2 linked regions of the Caenorhabditis elegans genome follow. The protein of the gene in region 1 interacts with the protein of each later gene in a pairwise test. Each region holds a gene or a part of one and is shown in the gene's direction. Other genes may lie near its edges.

What was found. Proteins that work in one complex are often made in the same cells at the same time.
Region 2: the proteins of F58F9.4 (region 1) and Y51A2D.13 interact in a two-hybrid assay, tested with the Caenorhabditis elegans proteins (one large-scale study listed by BioGRID).

Annotation. Positions count from the first base shown.
Region 1 is NC_003282.8:6,228,088-6,234,996, forward strand, and holds F58F9.4 (Cadherin domain-containing protein), read left to right. Parts: upstream 1-2,935; 5' UTR 2,936-2,956; coding exon 2,957-3,036; intron 3,037-3,089; coding exon 3,090-3,255; intron 3,256-3,301; coding exon 3,302-3,432; intron 3,433-3,476; coding exon 3,477-3,639; intron 3,640-3,722; coding exon 3,723-3,799; intron 3,800-3,843; coding exon 3,844-3,916; intron 3,917-3,956; coding exon 3,957-4,130; intron 4,131-4,216; coding exon 4,217-4,333; 3' UTR 4,334-4,520; downstream 4,521-6,909. Other genes in the region: C49A9.1 (Telo_bind domain-containing protein), read left to right, coding at 116-279, 329-494, 540-670, 993-1,257, 1,310-1,386, 1,431-1,503, 1,555-1,740, 1,790-1,906; F58F9.3 (Restriction endonuclease), read left to right, coding at 5,166-5,248, 5,334-5,499, 5,540-5,670, 5,718-5,874, 6,872-6,909.
Region 2 is NC_003283.11:18,573,785-18,583,091, reverse strand, and holds the start of Y51A2D.13 (PLD phosphodiesterase domain-containing protein), read left to right. Parts: upstream 1-3,307; 5' UTR 3,308-3,485; coding exon 3,486-3,545; intron 3,546-5,540; exon of another isoform or gene 5,541-5,642; coding exon of another isoform or gene 5,643-5,693; intron 5,694-6,441; coding exon 6,442-6,551; intron 6,552-6,682; coding exon 6,683-6,872; intron 6,873-7,023; coding exon 7,024-7,371; intron 7,372-7,660; exon of another isoform or gene 7,661-7,739; intron 7,740-8,012; coding exon 8,013-8,120; intron 8,121-8,324; coding exon 8,325-8,624; intron 8,625-8,978; coding exon 8,979-9,185; intron 9,186-9,307. Other genes in the region: txt-14 (transcellular chaperone signaling (x)cross tissue), read right to left, coding at 205-258, 313-423.

The DNA of each region.
Region 1 (6,909 bases):
CTTAGAATTATTTTTAAAGAAAAAGGTTTATTAGTTCAAGTGTGCATTTTAAAGAAAACCTGCCGTAGCGACACTTACTACTAACCATCTATCGACTCCTTCCACACTGATAAGAATGACATTTTTGCTGAAAAGTTGCTCCACATTTTTTGAAAAATTTTGTTGTTGTTGTAAGAAATATGAATCTGAATGGAATACACAATTGGAGTCAATTTCTTTATTTGCTGCAAGAAGAGGTTTTACTGATGGAGAGCCTTATTTAATTTTATTTGGATTATGGTAAATTATTTTTCAATTTTAAAAAGTACAATTTTTGAATATTTTCTAGCCCAAATGCAAATAAAACATTTATTGTTTCGGAAAATAAACTATCCGATTCAAACATTTGCCTCGGTGACTTCCTCGTGGCTTGCTCAGATTCTCCAAAAAACTTGAAAAACTTCAAAAAAGTTCCATATCCACTAGACGTAACAGTTGAAGGTGATTATGCTATTGTGAGTTTTTCATAGACTTTGAAAACGAAAATGTATTAATTGCAGATAAGTTATTCGTCAATGGAAGCTATCAAGGATATTAGTGGAATATTGATTTTTCAAACAACCGATTTTGGTCCAATTAGATCGTTGAATCAAAATCTAGATTTAGATGAATACAATATTACTGTGCACGCGTGAGTTTTTTTCATTGAAAAATTAAAAAATCAACGGAACATTTTTGCCAGAAATCTGTGAGAGCATTGTTTAAAATTAAAGCCTTATAGTAAGAATCTTGTAACAGGGGAACATGTTTTCAGGCTCAAAATTCTGAGCATTTCTTACCGGTAGGACTGACAATAAACTTAAATATAAATTTAAACTTATACTTTTCGTTTCATTTTTAAATGGTTTTTTTTTAAATCCCTGGAACTAACAAAAAACGTAGAAGGTTTTTAAAAATATGGTTATAATCACAATTAGAATATTTGAAAACTCATCAAAAATATTCAATTTCAGAACAGGCGTATCTGCAAGCGGACATGTAATTGAATTACGTGCCAAAGCCCAGCCTGCTTCAAACTATAGAAACAGTTCAGTTTATGAAAACCCCAGTTTTCTTGATGATCTCTCAGATGAACCCCTGGAAATCAAGAAAACGATTTCTAATAATTCTCTAGATGGTTTTTCCATGGAACAGCTTATCCAACAACTTCCGACTCTGGAACTTGGTGAAGCCGAAAATAGCGTACGCGTTCCACAAAACCTTTCTGCTCCACGGCTGGTAATATTTACAGTTGGGGAAATAATTCCTGCGAATTTTGTTTCAATTTCAGATGAAAGCGTTTGTGTATTCCGTTCATCAATATCCACATACTAAATTTCACTTCCTGTGGATTTGTGATATCATGGAGTAAGATAACGTGTTACTGCTCCGATATATGATAAATATTTTAGAAAATCTATATTGAAACTACCACAATATGATTTTGAGTTGGGTTACTTTTTTGAAGGAATTTTCAAACAGAAGGTAACTTTTTTGAAACTGTTCAGGCTCCAAGGATATCTTACTAAATTTCAGTCAAATGGAAAATGGGAATGCGAGCAGTACAACAATAAAATCGAACCATTAATTAATGGAACAGTAGTTATTAATGAGTACAACGGTAATGAAAAAGTGGAACTTACAACTACTGTCACAAACTATAAACCAAAGAATAACACAAGAAAATGGCCAGAAGTTGAAGCAAAGTATTTAGGAGTTGTAGTAAGTTTTGGGAAATTGTTTAAAAATCTTTTTTTAATTCAATTTTCAGTATGACAGACACAATAAACTTCCCAAGAACTGTGAAGGGCAAAAAGTTGAAGTTCAAATGATGAAAATTGATAAAGAACAATATGGATGGGTTATAACAGATATTTTAAATGAGTAAAACAACTCCTTTCAATGAATATTACTTTTATTATTTTCAAAACATTTGTTTTTGCAAATCTTGGTGGCAGACTGGCATAATTTGATATGTTGTAAACAGCAATTTTTCAAAATTTTGTCTCGCTTTAAAACTTTACTGAAAAAGTAAAGACTAAAAAAACTCGGATGACAAATTCAATTAATTGTTTTTAATATATTTTTATTTTATTATTTACACTGTTCCGAAAGAAGGTTTAAAAAAGAAATTAAGCGAATATTTATGATTAATATAATACAGAGAGAAACAAAAAAGTTTTGATGCTGGTTCAAACAATAAGTTTCAAATTTTGTATTATACAATGCACAATTCAAAATAGTAAAATCAAATTTGAATTTAAAAAACCACATAGATTTTTTTTTATTGTCTGGCTTTCCATCTGAGTAGTTAATAGATTCCTTAGATTTTGGTGTTAAACATTTTTCTACCGCGATAAATTTTTATCTAAAATATCAAGATATTGTTATCCAAAATATACGGTTCCTCCTGGAAGGCATTTAGAAAATAAAAGTTAGGAAAGGTTGATATTCAGCTTTAATTTAAGATTGGCAAATTTTAATCTGTTCCAGTATTTTTTGTTTTTCAAAGATTATTTCATGAACGAAAAAACCTAAAATTACATCATTCTTCAATGAATATTCGACTTATGAAAATTTACTGACTCATACTCCTCTTGTTAATAAAATTTTCCGTGTGAAGCATTTTTTATTTGAATCAATTCAGTTTCTTATCAACAAAACCTATACACACAATCGCCGAATGAAAATCGAAAAAGAGAAAACTGACAACATTTCCTACTAGGAGTGAGCAAGTTGTGTTTCTCGATTTTTATCTAATTATTTTCGAATGAAACTGCAATTTTGCATGAAATCGTTCGAGAATTTGAAGAAATAATTTGTCGGAATTTAAGAATGAAATGTTTTATACTTTGACGTATTTCCTCTATTAGTGTTGCACTCGAGTTGTAATGTATAAAATAATACTTCATTTCAGCAAAAATTTTTAATTTCAAACATGACAACTACAACTTTTTTCGTCGCATATCGAGGGTATTACATTGATGGCACAAAATTCCTGAACTTGATCGGATTGGGGTTTGTAACTTTTTTTTCAATCTATACCTAATACATACGTTACGGTTTTACAGATCTGATAACGATAAAAGCTTTCGCATATTAGAAACAGATCTCAATGGACAAGGAATCACATTGGGTAATGTTTTAACTGCGGTTATCAGATCGAAGAAAAGTCTCGACGCGTTTCAATTGAAAAGTCACAATTTCAATGTGAAAATTGATGGAAATTTTGCACTTGTGAGAGTTTTCACAGTATAGTTTTTATGAAAAATAACAATTTTAGGTTGATGGGATTGAAGGAGAATTAGTGAGGAATCGAGATGAAGACTTAGTTTTTGAAACAGAATCATTCGGAACTGTTAGAGCTATTGACCAAACTCTTGCTATTGGAAAATATATGATTACTGTTAGAGCGTAAGTTTTTAAAGGTAATCGAACACAAACAGATAACTTTTCAGAACAAATCATAAAGAAGAAAGCAAATTCAAAAACTTGCAGTATTGCGCCACCGTTCTAAAGAAAATTGAGCCGGCTCCTCCTATGTGTAGCTCCAGCACATCCTCGACTACTGTTGGGAAGGGATTTCAGTCCCGACAACAACCGGAAAACAAAATCAAAACGGTGAGATAATCAGAAAATAAACTTTTTCTAATATTCACTATCCAGAAAAATTAACAAAACCTGATAATATGTAAATTTTTCAGATGAACGCATTCATCTATAGAGTAATTAAGAAAAATCACCGCACGATTTACTTTTTATGGATTTGTGAACGTTACGAGTAAGAAGCTATTTTCCATCAACTTTGAACTTGAACAATTTCAGACAAGCAATATTTTTTTCGAAAACATACAACCTGACTGTGGGGCACTTTTTTGAAGGAATGTTTGAAGAAAGAGTAAGAAAAAATGTTAATTTTATAAACAAATAATTCTCAGAAAAATGCGAAATCGAATTGGCAATGCTTCAAATACGTTAGGCAGATTGAAGATATGTTTCCCGTCGATGTAGTCGGAAATTTGTTAGAAATAAAAACAACAATTAGTCATTATCAACCAATGACTAATATGACACAGTATCCACAAGTCTTCGCAGTGCATTTCGGATTTATTGTATGTTTATTCACCAATTGTTTCTTTTAATGAGACACCATTGATATTTAAAAAATAAAGTAAAAACATAATCAAACGTTTTCCAGCTAGACATCAAACAAATACTCCGTAACCTTAAAACGGATTGTACTGGAAAAACGGTTATCACGCAACGACAAAAAGTTGGGCAAAAGTTTGCATGGACTATCAAAGAAGTACTATAAGAAATACATATATTAAACTTACTAAAAGGATTTTGGCAACTGTTAAAAAACGTTTTAATGTGATTTGAAGTTATCTTATAAAAATGAATATCCCCTTTAACATAATCAAATATATGAATACATCCTAAACCGGATTAACTTTGAATTTATTTTTTTTTTAAGATTTGAATGAAGTGCTGATTTCTTGTGTTTTCTGCATGGCTACTGCATACAAATTGTTGCATCTGTGTCGCATTTGTTCACCTTCCAGAATGGTTCTATAATTTTGAAATTCTTCAATAGGTTTGAGAGAAGCAACGTTTCAAATTTTGTAGTTCGTTTCGTTGTAATTAAAAACTAAAAACTAGACTTCATACAAGTGCCTCAAAAAATGAAAACCGACCTCTTGATTATTTTCTGTTTTTTATTCTCAGAATAGCTATTTTCAGTTCAAATCGCTGGGTTCGAATAGGAAAATTGCTAAAGATTATCCTCTATGATGTGAAATTGAACCCGTGTTGGTTTTTGATCTTTCGAAAATTACTCTTCTAAAATAAAAGTGATTCATTCAACACATTCTCATAAATAGGTTAATGTCCATTTTTATCAATAGCAAGCAAATGTTTGATAAGCCAACAAATGCTGAAATAGGAGCGAAGACATTGAGAATGTTCTCGGGCCTCTCCATTATTTATTGATCAACTTCTTAAGAATGAGCAAATTTATTTGTCAGAATTGGTTTCATAAGTGAACATTCTTTCGCTCTATGTTTTGAATTTTTCATAAAAATGTTTTAATTATGTTTGATTGGAGGCATTCTTTAAAGTTTTATTGATTTGTTTTGAGATAAAATATGGCTCAAATAATCGACTTCTTCGCGGCATTTAGAGGATACTATTCGGATGGTTCAACATTTATCCAGATTATTAGCCTTGGGTGAGTACACCAGTTTATGATTCATATTTGTTCAATTTTCGTTCAGTAATTAAAATAATCATATCAATTATTCCAAGTATTACAGTTCCCATCACAATCTGTCAGTCCATATTTCGGAAAGAATGCTTTCAGAGAGTGGAATTAAACTTGGAAATTTTCTCAGTGCTACAGTTTCATTGGCAGAGCATCCAAAGAATTTCCAATTAAAGAGACTCAACCTGCAAGTCACTGTGGAAGGAAACTTTGCAAAGGTTAGAATAAATTAACTTTACTAAAGAAATTGTTGTTTAGGTGCACGGAATTGAGGCAAACTTGGAGAAGAATGCTGATGGAATTTTAGTATTCTCTACAAACAACTTTGCATCAGCGAAGGCTACGAACCAGGGTCTGGAGATTGGAAGATACAAAATAACTGTACAGGCGTAAGCTTTTGATTTGAGATTTCGAAAACTCACACAAATAAGTTCAGTGTGAAACCATCTGAAAAAGATTTGTTCAATGGTATGAAGTTTTTTGGAACCGTGGAAGAGAAAATCAGTGGTCTTACAAGACGAGTTGCCTCTAACAACACGAACCAAGTAATCGGCGAGGGATTTAGAAACATGAGTATCAGTGGAAAAAGAACTGTAAGTTGAATAATTACAGGGTGGGCCAAAAGTATGGTAACACATGAAGCGCTCTTTTACATGAGCTTTTCGCGCGACTGCCACGTCATACGTACATTCTTCTATCGAATACTGATAGCTGAATAAATGTCCTTCAATTTGACTCAAAATTTGTAATGTTTCCCAATAAGGTGCGATCTTTATCACCTCGACAATTTGGCGAACCCTTTCGAAAAAACGGTAATTTGGCACGCGGCACTTCCCACACAAACACACCTCCCACGCACGCCAATAATTTGCAGATGTATGATTTTTATGTTAAATTTAAAGTTAAAGAAGTGAAGAAGCGTTTTTAATTGTTTTTGTAGCATATGAAAATTTTCTGTGTCGACACTGGCGCCTAGCAAGAACCTTTGAATATTTCATGAATTCAACTTTGCGAAATTTACTCAGTTTTTTTGGTTTCGCAAGGCGTAACGACCCACAAAATCATCCGAGCTCAATTTTCTAAAAAAATTCTGGAAAGTGAGGTCAAAACGTCTCGAAAAATACTAAAATGAATTTTTCTGCATACTGCTACTCGCCGCTCACATCCATCTTTCTGGCGACTATGCCATTCAAGGCTTAACCTACTGCCGCAGTCCATGACAGAAATACCGTGATAGAAATTATTTGGATTTTTGTTTTTAAAGAATCTCTAGACCAAGAGCATTCTTTGAACTATAAAAACTTGTAAGACATTTGATGGATTCCTCGAGAAAAATGTAGAAATCCCGCAGAATGCCGACTTGCGTGCCATAACGGTCGTGATCTCAAAAGTTCTGAAGGCCTGCAGCGATGCGGATGGGAATATTTTGAAAATTCAAAACGTTCATCTGGTCAGTATTTTATGGAGAACAAAACTTGTACAAATTGATGTAATAACTCTCTCCACTAGTAAAGTTATAGAGCTGCAAACGTGTTACCATACTTTTGGCCCACCCTGTAAATTAAAGGTACATTTTTTTCCATTTTTCAGATGAAAGCTTTTGTGTACAGCACAATCCAAAAAAAAGA
Region 2 (9,307 bases), on another chromosome or scaffold:
TTCCCCCAAAAAAAAATGTCTGAAATTCTCGTTTTCCGGCATGAAAGGGTATGAGTTTTTTGAATTTTTGCGGTGTAAATTTTCTGGAATAATCTGAAAATTTTAAATTCAAAAGTTCAAAATGTTATCGATTAATTCAGTTTATTATATTATGCAAATTCAATTTTCAATTTTTTTCAAAAGATAAAAAAATTATTCAAAAAATTAGCAAAGGGTGCAGACGCAGTCTCCGGTGATACAGGTGGCGACTTTGCAGTTCTGAAAAAAAAAATTTCGCTTAAAATCTAAAAACTCAGCTTTTTCAAAACTCACTCTGCAGGTGATGGATTTGCAGATGGAATCCGAGAAATAGCACGAAAAATCGGCTGAAGCCATCTCGATGAGGGCGATGAGGAAGATGACGAGGAGAACGTACTTGAACATGATTTAGAGCTGAAAATATTGGCTTGCATTAGGTGAAAATTCAGAAAAAAAAAGAGGAAAAATGGCCGAAAACTGTGGAAAATGAGCTTTAAACTGTAAGAAATTTAAAAAAATTTTCACCTTTGAAAATCTGGATTTCCGGTGTAAAAATGTCAGAAATTTTTAATTTTTAATTTTCTACCTAAATACCTCTAAAAATTGGGATTTTCCTACTTAAAATTCTTTGAAATTTTGAATTTCAAGTGAAAAAAGTCTAAAACCCTCAAAAAACGGGCCAAAACTACTAAAGTTTTTTTTTTGAATTTTTCGAATAAATTTGAAAATTGAGCAAATGAACTTTGAAGCCTATTCCTAAGCCTCAGCCTAGCCCAAGCCTAAGCCTAACCCTAACACTAAGCCTAAGCCTACGCCTGAAGACTGTACCAGTAAACTCAGAATTATGCTGGAATTTGTTTTTCAGATAAAATTTGACGTGGGAATAATAGCAAACAATTTTCAAGTTAGGCTCTTGGAGGTGCATTTCTAAAAAAATTTGAAATTTAAAAATTCTTGGAGCTCGTGGAGCATTTCCAAGAGGCATTTCAAAGAGCAAATGCTCCGGGTGGGTTGTTTAGAAGAAGCATCCCGTCTTTACGGACAGCTGTGTGCTCCAAATTACACTTTTTGACAGGAATTCGGGTGCCAAGTGTTGTATGATCATGTCAACTTTTCGAAAAGTTTGGCCTCTTTTCCCTACGACGGCAGCTGACATTAATTTTGGGTCCCGCCGCGTGACTTTTGGGAAGATTGATGGAATTTTGGTCGTTTTGCGATCGGAAATAGAGTGAAGAAGCATCAACAAAAAGTTCAAAGAGCTTGATATTGCTTAGGCTTAATCTAAGGCTTAGGTTTAGATTTAGGCTTAGGCTTAATCTAAGGCTTAGATTTAGGCGTAGGCTTTGGCTTAGGCTTAGGCTTAGGGATAGTCTTAGGCTCAGGCTTAGGCTTTGGTTTAGGCTTAGGCTTAGGCTTAGGCTTAGGCTTAGTCTTAGGCTTCAGCTAAGGCTTAGATTTAGGCGTAGGCTTTGGCTTAGGCTTAGGCTTAGGGATAGTCTTAGGCTCAGGCTTAGGCTGTGGTTTAGGCTTAGGCTCAGGCTTAGATTTAGGCTTAGGCTTAGGCTTAAGCTAATGCTTAGATTTAGGCGTAGGCTTTGGCTTAGGCTTAGGCTTAGGGATAGTCTTAGGCTTAGGCTTAGGCTTAGGCTTAGGCTTAGGCTTAGGCTTAGGCTTAGACTTGAAAAATTTCCAGAAATTCCGAAAAATCCGAAAAAAAGAAAAAAATTTTTTAAGTCGGGTCAAAAAGTGTCATAAAACGGCCATTAACATAGGAAATTTGAATTTTCAGTGAATTTTAGTTCTCAAAAATCTAATATTCAGACACTTTTAACAGAAAATCATGAGGTTTGACGGTTTTTGAGTTGGAAAATATTTTTGGTTAAATGTGAAATTCGAAATTTCAGAAATTTTTAGCTAAAAATCAAGGTTTCAGAGGTGTTTAGGTAGGAAATTGAATTCGCATATGGTTTTTTTGTAGAAAATCCAAAATTTTTAGGACAAAAAATAACAAATTCAAAGGTTTTTACATAGAAATTTAGACTTTTATATGAAATTTTCCAATAAAAAAAACTGAACAAAACTGGAAAAAAAGTGAATGTTAAAATAAAACAGTATGATGATACAAATTGTAAGCTGTTGACGAGGGTGATGATTCAAAGTTCACAAAAAAAAACAAAATTGATCATTCGTTTCAACCAACCTATGACGTATAGATTCTGGAAAAAAAGCGGAAATGACGAGGTTTTTAGTCAAAAATCTGTGAAAATTTGCATTTTTCATAAATTTTACACAGGAAATCTGTAAGTTTCAGTCATTTTAACATTGGAAAATTGTGAGTTTCAGACTTTTCTACATAAGAAATTGAAATTTCAGGCTTTTTAAAATTCAAAATTCAAAAATTCACATATTTTCACATAGGAAAATCAAAATTTCACACATTTTAAATGGGATAATCAAAATTTAAGACATTTAAGACATAGGAATTTTGAAAATTCAGGATTGTATATATAATAAATTCAAAATTTCAAATATTTTTACACAGGAAAATCTAAATTTCTGACAGTTTTAGATCGTAAAATTGAGAGTTTTTTAGACATTTTTCGACAAGAAATTCAAAATTTCAGGCATTTTTACATAGGAAAATCGAATTTTCAGACAATCTTTAATATGAAATTTGAAATTTGAAACATTTTTACATAGGAAATTCAAAATTTCTGGCATTTCCAGATAATTTTCAGGCCCTAAAATTTAATTTTCCCATGTAAAAATATCTAAAAATCAAAACTTCCTGGTTTGAATAATTTTGAAAAATTGTTTGCTCTACTTGCCGCACAGCCGTGTTTTTTTTTTAAATTTCCAGCCAGAACTTCAAGCCAGTCAATGCTCCAATATACTCTAAAAAAAATATACTCATAAAAAATGAAATTTTAGCCGATTTTACATAAGAATATTGAAATTTCAGGCATTTTTACATTAGAAAATCGAATTTTCAGACTATTTTTGCATAAGAAAACTGAAATTTCAGACAATTTTGCATAGAAAAATTAGATTTTCAGTCAATTTTTACATAGAAAAGTCAAATTTTCAGACACTTTTACATAGGAACATCGAAGTTTCAAACAATTTGCTATGGAAAATCAAATTTTCGGACTTTTTTTACATAAGAAATTTATAATTTCAGACATTTTGACATATAAAAAATGAAATTTTAGCCGTTTTTACATAAGAATATTGAAATTTCAGGCATTTTTACATAAGAAAATCAATTTTTCAGACTATTTTTGCATAAGAAAACTGAAATTTCTGGCATTTCCAGATAATTTTCAGGCCCTAAAATTTAATTTTCCCATGTAAAAATATCTAAAAATCAAAACTTCCTGGTTTGAAAATTTTTGAACATTGTTTTTGCTCTACTTGCCGCACAGCCGTGTTTTTTTTTAATTCCAGCCAGAACTTCAAGCCAGTCAATGCTCCAATATACTCTGACAAAGTGTGGCTCAGGTCTCGAAAACAAGGAAAATCATGAGGTATGTTATTTTTTTGGAAATAATTATCTGAAAATGTTTGAAAATTTGAATTTCCAATAGAAAAATGTCTGTAAATTTCTCCAATGTAAAAATGTGTGAAATTTCAAATTTCCTATATAAATGGTCTAAAAATACGATTTTCCAATAGTAAAATGTCTGAAAATTTGATTTTCCCATAGAAAAGTGGCAAAAATTTGAATTTCCTATCCCAAAATGCATGAAAACTTGAATTTCTTATTTAAAAATATCTGAAATTTCAAATTTTCGAAGTAAAAATGTCTGAACATTTGGTTCTCCCTGGTACAAATGTCTGAAATCCTGAATTTTCCATAAAAAAATGTCTGAAATTTTGATTTTCCAATAGAAAAAAGTCTGAAAACTTGAGATTCCTATGTAAAAATAGTTAAAAATTCGAATTTCCAATAGAAAATTGTCTGCTAATTAGAATTTCCAATAGAAAATTGTCTGAAAATGTGATTTTCCAATGTAAAAATGTTTGAAAATTTAAATTTCCAATAGAAAATTGCCTGAAAATTTGGTTTTCCTATGCAAAATTGCCTAAATCTTCAATTTTCCAGCCTAAACATAGCTGAAAATTCAATTTTCCTATGTGAAAATGTCGAAAATTGTGAATTGTCCATAGAGAAGTGCCGGAAAATTCTGAATTTCCTATGAAAAAATGACTAAATCTTCAATTTTTCCGCCTGAAATTGCCTGAAATTTAAAATTTCCAGTGTAAAAATGCCGAAAACTTCCATTTTCCCGCCCTAAAATTGTCTAAAAATTTGAATTTCCTCCTCAAAACTGTCCTCAAAATTGTTTGTGCTGAAAATTGCTTGCAGAACACCAGAAAACGCTTAAAAACAACCATTATCAGCTTATCATTTTTAGTTTTTCAGACAAAAAATCTCAAAAACAAATGTAAAAATCACGTCAATTTTGATCATTGAAAATCAAAATCAAAACCAAAATTTTGATAAATTTTCAAAAATTCAAAAATAATTATCACATGATAAAATTGTATTCAATGATCAGTCCAAAAATAGGCGCCACGTGATAATTTTAGGCTAATCAGTGGAGTTGGAAAAGTCTGAAAGTACAGTCTATCGGTGTTTCCGGGTGTCCGTCGACCCGGGAAATGTCGGCCGCTCCTAGAAATTCCTGATAATCGATTTTGATCTTTATAGCTAAAATTACCTGAAATATCAAAAAAAAATTGCAAAAATGGTTGGCTTCTTAGCGGCGGACATCTCCAGGGTTTGAGCAGCCGACACTTACCGGGTGGCTATAGTTTTAGCAGCCGACACCTTCCGGGAAGCTATAGTTTTAGCAGCCGACACCTGCCGGGAGGCTATAGTTTTAGCAGCCGACACCTGCCGGGAGGCTATAGTTTTAGTAGCCGACACTTACCTGGTGGCTATAGTTTTAGCAGCCGACACCTGCCGGGAGGCTATAGTTTTAGCAGCCGACACCTGCCGGGTGGCTATACTTAGTTTAGCAGCCGACATCTGCCGGGTCGCTATAACTTTAGCAGCCGACACCTGCCGGGAGGCTATAGTTTTAGCAGCCGACACCTACCGGGAGGCTATAGTTTTAGCAGCCGACACCTGCCGGGTGGCTACAGTTTTAGCAGCCGACACTTACCGGGGCTATACATGCTTTTTCGACACCCAAATTTCTATAGAAATTGAGCAGCGGACATTTCCTGGGTAGTTTTTCGCCAAAATTTTGAATTTTTTCACGTTTTCGCACCGTTAAAACAAGAATCAACTGACTTTTCCCATAGTCTTAAAGTTCAACCTCTTTTTTTAGCCCTTATCAAGTGCAATTTCCTGATTTTCCGTGGGCTTATTGACGTCAATTAGTCAATTGTGGAGGCGCGTGACGGTGTCAGGCTCCCTGACAAACTGTCTATCAGATCATTAACTGATAAGAAAATGCACATAAATACGCGGTGCTTATCACCGGATAGTTTCCTACTTTCAGTTTCACTCTTTTGCCTCACAATTTTCGATATTTGACACTTTTTCGAGTGGAAAATTGAGAAAAATTTGGGAATAATTTGGAGAGAAATTGAAATTTTTTGTTGAAATATACATGACAATGGCACAAGAATCTAATGAATTAAAATACAAATTCACAATATCGGTACGTTTCAGATTGAATTTTTTGAGATCTTTTTGTTGGGAAAATTGGATGTTATTGATTAAATTTTGGAAATCTCCAAAATCAAATAAAACATTCATTTTTGGAATTTTCTGTAAATTTTTAACATTTTTATTAAGTTTTTTATATTTAAAAAAAAAGTCATCTGAATTTTTTTAGAATTTTCAAAAATTCCAAAAAAAATATTTTTTTAGGTTTCAATTTTTTTTAATTCAAAAAATTATAGAATTTTTTCTGAATTTTTAACTAAAAAAATTTGAAAATTAGCTCATACTTTAACTAGAAATTTTAAAATGATAGAACTTACAGACATTTTAAAAATTGAAAAAAATTTAATAAATTTGCCAAAAATTAATTTTTTGGAATTTTTTATAGTTTTTCAATTTTGAAAAATAAATTGAACTTATTTTTTAATTACTTTTTGGATTTTTGTTTTCAAAGTATAAATAGTGTGAAAATAAAAAAATTAAAAATTTGCAAAAAAAATTTTTTTTTGAAGTTTCGAATTTAAATTTTCTGTTTTTTTCAGAGAAAAAAAATTTAATTTTTAAAAATATAATTTTTAAAAAACACATAATAATTTTTAAAAAATTCAATAAAACCTTTTTTTAATTTTTCCAAAATTTCCAAAAAAATTTTTTTTCTTGGAAGTTTAAAATTTTCTACTTCAATGCTTTCTAAACTTAAAAAAAAAACCAAAACATTAATCTTTATAAATTATTTTTTTCAGGGCTTCGTGATATTATTAATACCCTTCCTCACAATAGGACTTATCACAAAATTACCGGAAAAACCAGAAATTCAATTGGTTAGGGATCGTCAATGTTTTAATACTTGCAAGTGAGTTTTGGCGGGAAATTTAAAAAAAATTGAATTTTCGAAGTGGAACAGAAATTTAAAAATTTTGAAAAAATTGTTTTTGAAATTTTTTTCCGAAAATTTCAAAAAATCCAATTTTCATAAAATTTCAGATTACGAATAGTGGAAACAATTCCAGCAAATATTTCATTCGGCGAAGATACCGTATTCCCATTATCCACGTTTCGCGCCTGGAAATCGCTAATTTCAAATGCTCAGGAGGAGCTCTACGTGGCGGCTTACAAGTCGAGTTTGCAGGGGAAACATGTGCTCGGGGACTCTGCAAAGTATTATTCTGTAGAGGTATGAGAACTTTTTTCCAAACTTTGAAAAAAAAAAATTTTTTTTGAAAATTTTTGAAAATTTTTTTTCGAAAAAAACTTCAAAAATTTTTTTGAAAAAAAAAACAACTTTTTCCAAAAACTTCAAATTTTCAAATTTCCTCAATTTCCAGGGAGATTCCATCTACAACACCCTAATGGCAGTAGGAAAATCCCGAAAAGTTGCCGTCAGAATGGTGGAAAACTACCCGCCAAAGGATAAGGGCGACAACGCCGACGGTGTGATTTTGGAGAATTTCGGCGCGGTGACCCGGAAATCAATCGATATTTCCGAATATATGGGCCGTGGAAAAATGCATTCGAAATTTTTGGTCGCCGACCGGAAAAGCTTTTATTTGGGCTCGGCGAATTTGGACTGGCGGAGTTTGAATCAGAAAATGGAGTTGGGTGTTTTGGTGGAAGATTGCGAATGTCTTGGAGAGGATATGCATAATATTTTCCATGTTTTGTGGGATTTGAAGGTAAGAAGACCCTCATGTGTTTGGGGGTGTGCACAAAAAATTACGAAAATCGGTTGGAAACTGACAATTTTACAAGGGTATCGAGAAACGCGTCAAGGCACTAGAATTGCGCCAAGGCAATAGAAATGCGCCAAGGCACTTGAATTGCGCCAAGGCACTAGAAATGTGTCAAGGAACTAGAATTGCGCCAAGGCACTAGAATTGTGTCAAAGCACTAGAATTGCGCCAAGGCACTAGAAATGCGTCAAGGAACTAGAATTGCGTTAGCGCACTAGAATGTCGTCAAGGGACTAGAAATGCGTCAAGGCACTAGAATTGCGCCAAGGCACTAGAAATGCGCCAAGGAACTAGAATTGCGCCAAGGCACTAAAATTGCATCAAGGCACTAAAATTGTGGCAAGGCACTAAGATTGCGCCAACAGCATACCTTGGCGCATTTTTTGATACAATATTAATATCACTTCAGTGCACCATAATTTAATAATTGCACGAAAGTTGCGCCAGCAAGCCACCTTGGCGCATTCCTCGATACAGTAGTTTTAGATGCATTTTTGGCTTTTTTTAAACGCACTTTTGTCTAGTTTACACGAAAAATTCAAATTCCCTATTTTCTGACAGAGCCAAATTTTCAAATTTTCCAGAATAAAGGCATCGAGTCAAATGGGGCACTGAAAGTTAAAGCCGCCTATAACAAGGAGTACCCGCTGGAAATGCAAGTACAAGGAGCCAAGGCTCAGGTTTATATCGCGGTGAGTTTTTGAAAATTTTCAGAAGAAATTGTTGACTAAAAAATTTTTAAACAAAAATTCGAAAATTTCCAAAAAAAACATTTTTTTTTGGAAATTTTTAAAAAATTTTTGTATATCGATTTTTTTGTGAAAATATCGATTTTTAGGGTCAAATTTTCTGAATTTTTCAAATTTTCACTCTATTTTATTCCAATGTTTTTGCAGACCTCCCCAAAAGAGCTCAACAACCCACGCCGTACATGGGACCTCGACGCAATTGTCTCGGAAATTGACGCCGCCAAGAAATTCATTGATATCCATGTTATGGACTATTTCCCGTTGTTCATCTACCGTAATCCACGTGTACATTTCTCGAATATTGATGACGCGATCCGACGGGCGGTGGTTAGAGGCGTCAAAATTCGATTCCTAGCCGCCGCGCTTCATTATCCGGATATTGGAACGAGGTTCCTGAGATCCTTGGAATCGTTGAATGGTTTCCATGCTAATGGTACTATGGAAGTGGTGAGTTACTTTAATTTTCAGAAAATAGAAAAAATTTCATGGGTTTTGGTAAAAAATTGGAGGAAAACCGATGAAATTGAAGGAATTTACCAATGGAGCGCACTTGCAACAATTTTCATTTGAAAAATCATATTTTTTGTGTCAAATTCAAGTTTCTCATAAAATTCTCGTTAATTTGGCACCCATATTGGCTATATTTGAACAAATCTGAAATTTTGAGCCTAAACAGGCCTAAACCGGCCTGGAACGGCCTAAAACTTTAATTTTTCAGAAAATAGTCAATATGGGTGTTAAAATTTTGCAAATTTCATGGAGATTTCGAAACTGTTCACAAAAAAACAATAAATATTCCAGAAAATCTTCAAAGTTCCACGTACCAACATTGAAAGTATAGTAATTAATCGGGAGCGCCGGACGCATAATAAATTCATGGTCACCGAGTCGGCGGGAATTATTGGAACCTCAAATTGGTCGGGAGACTATTTTATGGGTGGAACTACTGGAGCTGCGATAGTTATCAGGCAAACCGGGGAGAAGCGGCCTTTTGTGGATGAGTTGAAGGTAAAATTTCTTGAAATTCCGTGAAAATCCTGCAAAAATCCAAGGAAAACTGGCTGTTTTACAAGGGTATCGAGAAATGCGTCAAGGACACTAGATTTGCGTCAAGGCACTAGACATGCGCC